2 linked regions of the Nothobranchius furzeri genome follow. The protein of the gene in region 1 interacts with the protein of each later gene in a pairwise test. Links are inferred from orthologs where the notes say so. Each region holds a gene or a part of one and is shown in the gene's direction. Other genes may lie near its edges.

What was found.
Region 2: the proteins of arl16 (region 1) and pde6d interact in binary tests that used the Homo sapiens proteins (3 or more experiments, as listed by UniProt). The two-hybrid records come from large-scale screens. The link is inferred for Nothobranchius furzeri from reciprocal best matches to the Homo sapiens genes ARL16 and PDE6D.

The regions. Positions count from the first base shown.
Region 1 is NC_091745.1:1,693,239-1,697,146, forward strand, and holds arl16 (ADP-ribosylation factor-like protein 16), read left to right. Parts: upstream 1-1,485; 5' UTR 1,486-1,564; coding exon 1,565-1,676; intron 1,677-1,830; coding exon 1,831-1,886; intron 1,887-1,969; coding exon 1,970-2,086; intron 2,087-2,177; coding exon 2,178-2,293; intron 2,294-2,429; coding exon 2,430-2,595; 3' UTR 2,596-3,173; downstream 3,174-3,908. Other genes in the region: fn3krp (ketosamine-3-kinase), read right to left, coding at 1-107, 201-323, 416-498, 611-702, 787-938, 1,152-1,292. UniProt on the Homo sapiens protein: May suppress the RNA sensing activity of RIGI in a GTP-dependent.
Region 2 is NC_091756.1:55,091,883-55,096,198, forward strand, and holds the start of pde6d (retinal rod rhodopsin-sensitive cGMP 3',5'-cyclic phosphodiesterase subunit delta), read left to right. Parts: upstream 1-1,450; 5' UTR 1,451-1,656; coding exon 1,657-1,706; intron 1,707-3,218; coding exon 3,219-3,307; intron 3,308-4,059; coding exon 4,060-4,185; intron 4,186-4,316. UniProt on the Homo sapiens protein: Promotes the release of prenylated target proteins from cellular membranes. Modulates the activity of prenylated or palmitoylated Ras family members by regulating their subcellular location.

The DNA.
Region 1 (3,908 bases):
AATATGACAGGACCCTCCGGACACTCAGCCACATTTCCTCCCCATAAGTCTCCATGAAGGAGAGCAGGAAAGATCTCCACATCTGTGAAAAACTGTGGGACCTTTAGCTGCAAAAAACAGACACAACTGGACTGTCAGATTACTGTGGCACTCATCAGGGGTTGTGTAAAATATCTGATGTTGTCAAGCGGAGGATGCACCTGTAGCTGAGCCCATAGGTCTCTGGCCTCCCGATCTCCATATGATTTCTCCACCAAGTTGAGTTGGTGCTGTAGACGGTGCTGGCAGTAAAATGACACCCAGTCATCCTGCCATTCATTCTCCTTGGAAAAGTGGAGAGGGATCAAAATTTAGATTTATTCTTGAAGATATGTATAAAAGACATGTGCACTGCAGTATTTGTTTAGTGTTTAACCTGCGGTAAATATCCACAGCATGTAGCTACATCAAAGCCAAATTTCTCTACAGCAGCCGCCTCTGACTGTCCAGCTCCTTTACCTGAAAACAACACAGGTTAAATCAGAGGGAACCCCGCTTCAAGACTCAAAGTGTGACTTGTTGCATTTCTACACACATTTCCAAGCAATTATACAAATGTAAAATGAATTACCCACAGTCTGCTGCTCCTTCTGTTGATTTCCCATGAGCCTTTTGTTGTGTAGATGCAGATCTGCAAGTTGCTCTCCAAGCTGCTTTGAGAACCTGCTCAATGAAATAAGAATTTATATATTTTCACATGAATGATACGTCAGAAACAAGCTATAGTGTACATGAAGACTCACTCACTTGTTAAGACCGTTCATGTCCAGATGCTCCATCACAAATACACATCCTCCCTTATCCAGCTCAACCACCTTTATGGGCTTTGGTACTTTAACGGTTTTGGTTTTAAAGATTGCTTCCAAGCTTGCCATCTCTCCATCAAACATCCGTTTGGCCTGAATAACACAAACGTATTTTATATTAATTATTGTATAACTATTATTGTTTATTAATGTAGAATCAGGTTGATTAAATGTTTCCATGCCTGAAAATAACAGCTGTTTATTAAAACAACAAATCATTTAATAGCTGACATAATACGTATATCTAAAAAAAAGTGCAAATGAGTATTCCGAGATGTTATTGCAATTTCTGAACTTAAAAATGACCTCGCTCTTGCGGTTAATCTTTACAAACACTCTTCCTGTGTCGGTCTCATAACTCTGACCCTCGCTGATACATCCTCCTCCTGCGTGACCAGTGGATTTCAGCACGCTCGTGCCTAACTCTTTCTTTAACTTCGCTTCCATGATTATCTCTCGGCTCCTCTTCTCTTGCAACTCTAGTCTCAACAACGTGTGGCCGATTTCGACGTTCCGATGGCGTCGCGACTCTGATGTCGTTTCAGTCAACGAGGATTTTAGTCTTGTTTTGCTTCCACTTTATTCACGTGATCTTAAACAACCAATCAGATGCAGACCAAGGAGGAATGAAATCAAATTGGACCTATCAGTGTCAAGACGAAGGGTCACGTGAGCGTCTCCATGGCGTCAAGTGCGGCAGCCTCTAACATGATTTAAACATGTTGAAATGCTTTGCTTGCGCAGAAAAAGGCGAAATGAACAACAATGAAATGTGTTTACTCCTCGGAGCGACTGGCTCAGGAAAGTCTTTATTACTTAAACGCCTACAAGATATCCTTTGTGCTCGTCTAAGTGTTTTAAACTAGTTATCTGTGAAGGCTAATGCAGCTAGCTAAATGCTATGCTATTTACTACTTTAAACCAAATGTTTCTTTGCATTGAAATGAAGCTACAGTAACTGAACATTTCCTTACAGATTTCTCACTACTTAGTTTGCATGGTTCATGTGAAGTGGGCTCTCCTCCTCCCACTCTCCCCACAGTAAGCGCTGAGGAAATCCAGTTCTAATAGCACGCGAACACGCTTGTTTATGATGTGACTCCTCATCTATTTGATCACCTCAGGTAGGAACAAATCTGACAGACCTCACCCTAAAGAAGAAGAAGGTGACAGTAAGGGAGCTGGGAGGCTGCATGGGCCCTATATGGCCCAGCTACTTCACAGACTGCTTCTCTCTCATTGTAAGACACTTGAATATATACAGCATTTTTTTAAATACTCAATAAGGAAACAAATCATTTTGATCAAATATTTTTTATGGTTTTCTCATAGTTCGTCGTGGATTCATCTAACATAGCTCAGATATCCTCCTCGTGCATCCTGTTGCTGTCTGTGCTCTCAGCTGAGCCTCTCTGCCGTGCATCTGTGCTTATTCTCTTCAACAAGAGGTAGGAATTTCATAAACATCAGTTCCTACAAATGCAAATAGTCAAAAACACAAGACATTTATGCAAAATCACAACTGTGTGTTAGGAGAAACCCTTTTTTCATGCCATTTTTGTCTTGGTTTTCTTTCTTCCCCAGAGACATTCCTTGCATCATGAGCCTTGTAGAGATAAAGTCACTGTTCCGGATAGATGACATCATTGCAAGTGCTCCTCAGTCCATCACAACAAAGGAAGTTAGTGCCAGCTCTGGGCAAGGACTGCAAGAAGTATTGAGCTGGCTGGAGTCCGTCACAATCAAGTGATCATGATCAGGAAAGGCAAAAGTCTAAAAAGCCCTTTGGATAAAGACATCAATATTCTCATTTCCAAAACACTGTTATTGGAGGATCTGAATGCTATCTTTAGGACTGGAGGCTGTAAAAGTGGCTAAAGATATAAGAAAAGAAAAACTGCACTGGGTCTTTGGTACCATTCAGTACTGATTAGAGTGAGAACGTGATCTGATGCGAGATGAGACAACTGCATAAGTGACCATTGTGACTGGAGTTGGGATATCATCAGTATACATTTCTGCTCCAACCATTGGTCATTTAGAGATCCCTTCTCTGTTCACATTCTTGTCTGGTAAACAGAGAACTGAGAGAATCATGAGTGGTGTGACAGCCAACAGCTTTAGGCAGACAGAGCAATATGGAGTTTTGGTTCAAGTTACTTTTCTACACACCAGAGGGTACAGGCCAGGGACATCATCAAAGAACAAGGCACAAAAGGCAAATGGATCAGAATTAGGATCAGAATCACTCTAATCATTTTTATGATAGGAAACCAAACTGGAGCTCTCAGAGTTTGTGAATATCAAAATAAATCACAACTTGAAAAAGATCGTGCCACCTTCAGTAAAATGGGGTTCACATTTAAATGCTTGCTTTGCTGCTTGTAGCACTTACCCCAATACTTAAAAGTTTCTTTAGCAGAATATCAGCCCCATCCAAGGAGTATGGACTGTTTTCAGCAGGCTAGAGAAGATGCCCGATACTTCCTACAGACATTTTAAGACCTGAAGTCCGTCATTCCTGGAAAGACTTGTGCAAATCTTAAGAAGTTTGGATGGACAATGAAAGGGACATGCTGCCATCAGGTGGAATAAGGTGCTTAAGAGGGCTACAATCACACAGTAAATACTAGCAAATGGAATAGGGAGCGGATTTTTACTCCCCATCATCAGCCAGTTTTTTTCATCTGTATATTGTTTTTATTTTATTTCTATCACAAATTCCAATATCAGAAAATAGTTTCATTTGATTTCATTTCTGAACATCATTTTATTATTTTCCATATAATTCAGAAACGACCATAGTGATCGTAAGAATGTTCTGATGCTTGTGGGAGATGAGGGAATGAAAAGTACTCATCTGGAAAACACACAGAATTGTAGAAATTACTGCTACATTTGATGGGAGTTTGTAAATCACAAGCAATTAATAAAACTTCAATTTTCCATTTTAAATATCGTCGTACTTAGAAACTGAATCACAACACTTTAATCCGTTCCTTCTGCACTTCGTCTCACTTCAGTGAATGAATATGTAGATTGTTAAACCGGTCAGTTCTGGTC
Region 2 (4,316 bases), on another chromosome or scaffold:
TAAAAAAAGCTAACAAATCTGAAGCTAACGGATGCAATCCAGATAAGCAACCTGCAAAATGTTTTTTCAACACTTCAAAAATACATCCTTAAAGTTCATTTCTGACCCTGAATGGCTTGGCCTGTTTAATCTTTTAATTGCATTTAAAATATGATTTTATTATCTAAAAACTTATGTTCATATAAAGTCATTCAGCAGCAGCAACCTGTTAGCAATCAAAACCAGTTACAGTGCTAGTTAAAAGAGCTTAAAATAACAAAATAAAATGTTAGTTGAATGTGGTTAAAGCCCAGAGCATAAAGGTAATTAAAGATCCTGTTCCAACTGACTGGAACCCATCCTATTGAAGCATGCTGCATGGAAGGCTTGTGTTGGTTTGTACTTTTGACAAGTTTACCCTGCCAATATGGCGGAATCGCTTACGTTTTTAAACAAGTTTTATTTAACCAATAAAGCTTACAGGCTTACATAAGAATCAATATTTACAGTTGAATTCTGAGCATGACAAAATAAAGCAGGTGTACAAACAGAAACAATAATATTAACCTAGCTCAATATCAACCTGCAGAAATCATAACTATATATATATATATATAAATATATATGTGTGTGTGTGTGTGTGTGTGTATATATATTACATCAACATTTTTAGGGGTAAAGGAAACATTTACCAAATTGTTATAGAGCCAAATGGCTTTCTTGGAACTACATAATTTAAGAGAATCCATAAAGGATGCAAGTTCTTTAAAAAAAAAAACAATAAAGATCGGTTTGATGTTGCCAAATTTACATTTGTGTATAAAGAATTTGGCGAAAATAATCAAATTATTGACAGTGAATTGCTGCATTTTATTTTCCAAACTAATACCATTCTTGATGTCAGAAAAAGATAAGGAGCGTATAATGAAATTATTATGCGTTAACCACGAGTGAAAACTATCCCAGAAAATTTTGGTAAAGATGCATGTGAAAAATAAATGTATCTCAGTGTCTATATTAGAAGTGCTAAAGGCACAATTGTTCTCTCCAATATTAAATTTAGACTGCAAGAAATCTTTGCAAGGATAAATACTGTTTATAGTTTTAAAATGAACTTCCTTGGCTTTAGGAGGGATTGGGAATTTGGGATAGTTGCATCTAATGTTTTTAACATCAGAATTACTAAATTGACGCACTAATTCCCGTCTTCTAAGAGGTAAGGGAAAGAGGGCGTCAGTGAGCCAACATCTAAGGATTTTATTATTGCAGTTCCTGTCCACAAAAGAACAGTTCTTAATTGTTAAAGGATGCATTTTTGGAATAAGGTGAGAGTACGGAATCGCTTACGGAGGAAACTGGTGTTTGGTTTTAACGGCGAAACGCTCTATCCGTTTCCGTCCCGCCTACTTTTCTTTCACGCGCTGTGATTGGTTCGTAGTAGTTCTCGTTCCCACTGAGTGGCTGTGAGAGCTGTCTGTCCGTGGGCGGGTATGTTTAGCTGATTGCATTATTGGAATCGGATTTATCCTGTAGTCTAACTGTTCTGGATTAATTTCGTATTGCCTGCTCTATTCCTGGCGAATTTCGACTGTCCGGTTGGCCTGCTACGATAAAGTTAACGGCGTCATTTCCCCCCCACATTCTGGATAATCGGTAATAAACGGAAACTGTCCCGAGATGTCTCGGAGTGAGGAAAGGGCCAAGGAGATTTTGAAGGGCTTTAAACTGTATCCTTCCACTGGGTGATGGTAATGTTTTTCACGGTTAAGCTTGATGTGTTGTTATAACTACTGCTGCAGTTAGAAGTCGGCTCCTAAGATTCTAAAACAGCTAGCTGTTCATGCTAACTAACCGTTAAATGGCAAAATTTCCGACGTGCTAACAACCTGTAAGTTGCTGCCTGTTGGTGTGACTGATTAAATTCGGTTTTATGGGGCTGTTACCGATCAAACATGTTGTCTGAGCGTGTCGTGGAAGCTGCTAGTTCCGTTAGCTCCATATGTAAGCAGCTTTGCGTGAGGACTTCAGGTGGATTGGTGCTGCAGCTGGCCCCCTGTGTGTGCTGCTACCCAACCTGAACAGGACCTTTGCTAGCAACCGTTTCTTTTGGCTGTACCTTTTAAAAGTCCTTGAATCAAACTAGAAACTTTTAAGTGGTTCTGCCGCAGAGTGGAACATTCAACTCCACCTTTAATTGGAGCCAAAGTTTTGGCCACGAGCACCGTCTTGATTTTGAGGGAGGAAAATATTTCATAAAGTCAGCACTCTGTTCACTGTAGCACCAAACGTGAGTTCATCATGACAGCTGTGTGGTGTGGTGATGACTTTTATAATGTTTTACGTGATGACAACAAATATTGTAAGAGGTGATTTCTGTGGCATGTTCAACTTTACCGGTGAACCCCATCAGCACCTCTGCCATCTGGTCGGATTCTAGAGAAAATCGTCAATCTCATCAAAAGAAAATAAAAAAATGCATTAATTTTAATATATTTTGTTTGCACGAAGCAGGAGGAATAGTTTACTTGAGGAAGCTGGGATGTCCGTAAGTGATGCCATGAGCTGCAGCTGTTACTTTTTTCAATCTGTGATTTTACTCAAATGCTTATAGATATCCAGACACTGCCCATGTTCTGAGTCGTCTGAGTTTAGAGGGAGTTTCTAGGTTGGATGGTGTTTCAATCAATCATTTTATTTATAAAGCCTCTTCCCACCCCCAATGAAGGGGGTCCAAGGTGCTGAACATAGTGCAAAGAAGCAGCACAATAAAACAGCTCTATAATAAAATACAGAGATGAAAACATAAAAAAACAATTAAAAAAAAGAGGTTAAAACAATTTAAATAGTGATCGAAAACATTAAAATGTAAATAAAAACAACGAAGAAACAGATCTCAAATGCAGCTTATGCCTTGCTTTAAAGGTGGGCAGCGATGTGGACTGTTTGATTTCTTGTGGTTCCAAAGCCGAGGACCCCAGAACTGCAAAGGCACGAACAACTGTAAGATGCCAGGAAGCTCATAATTTCAGCGAGATTTAAATATTTCCCATTTGTTCCCAGAGAATTTTGCAGACTGTTGCTGTTTGTTGTTGGACCTTTTCTGAGAAACTGGATTAAATGTTTTTTTTCTGGTTCAATGTTGAATTTTGCCCAGGAACAATCAGGGTGGGTGCAGAAAGGGTCTGGTTCCATTTCTCTTTGCCGTGTTTGCCTGTTTTTACTTAACATCGTGCTGGCAGAAATTGGATGAACCTTCGGGATGCAGAGACGGGTAAGGTGCTGTGGCAGGGAACAGAGGACCTGTCTGTACCTGGAGTCGAACATGAAGGTAAATCGCAGCATACATTATACAGTAGATGGGTAAATGACACGCTCATTACTTTTATTTGAGACTCCATATGGGAGTAAAAACAAATTGGCACAAAGTGTGACAAAACAAAATTCACATAACCGCTTCACATTCCTCAGATCTCTCAGCTCGCTTATCTTTGATTTTAAAGGAGAAACATGTTAAACAAAGGGTAAAGAGGTGATTAAGAAAATAATCTGGCAAATACTTTGAGTTTCTGACTACCTCTACATTTCTACGCCCAAAAAGCAAATTCAACTAATCTCCCACACAACCAGTGCCTTATTTAACACCCATTTAACCAATCAACGTTCAAAAGAATTACCAAAAAGGGACACTATCTCTAATGATAAAAGTTAGGATTTGTTTTTGCCCTCCTTTTTTTTCTGCAGCTGAATTTTTTTCCCTCTATTTCCAAGTTTAACAAATCAATAATTATATTATTAGACTCTATTCACAGCTGTTCTAGATCATTTCAACCCTCAGGAGGCAGGCGTTGCAGATTTGCAACGTTAAAACCTACCTACCTGGTTACTCCACATACGTATTTCATGAGCAGTTTTTCCTTTTATCAAAACTTATTTTAAGCTCGAGAGGGTTAATAAAAAGTAAATATTCAGTAGTGATGGGTTTCACCCTGTCCTGTGGGCTCCAAAACAAATCTGATGGTTGATAATATCCAGTAGTTTGGACGTGTTGACCTAACCGTGATGTCTCCTCTCCTGTCTCAGCTCGTGTCCCAAAGAAGATCCTGAAATGCAAAGCGGTGTCCAGAGAGCTGAACTTCTCTTCTGCTGAGCAGCTGCAGAAGTTTCGGTTGGAACAGAAAGTTTTCTTCAAAGGCCAGTGTCTAGAAGGTAATGTGTGAAACACACTCTTTCAATACAATCTTTATTTTAAAAAAGCCTGACATCTAGTCCTAAAAGTAGATGGGGGGGGGGGGGGGGTCTGCCCAGTGGATGGACACTGGAAACATGTTCCACAAGAG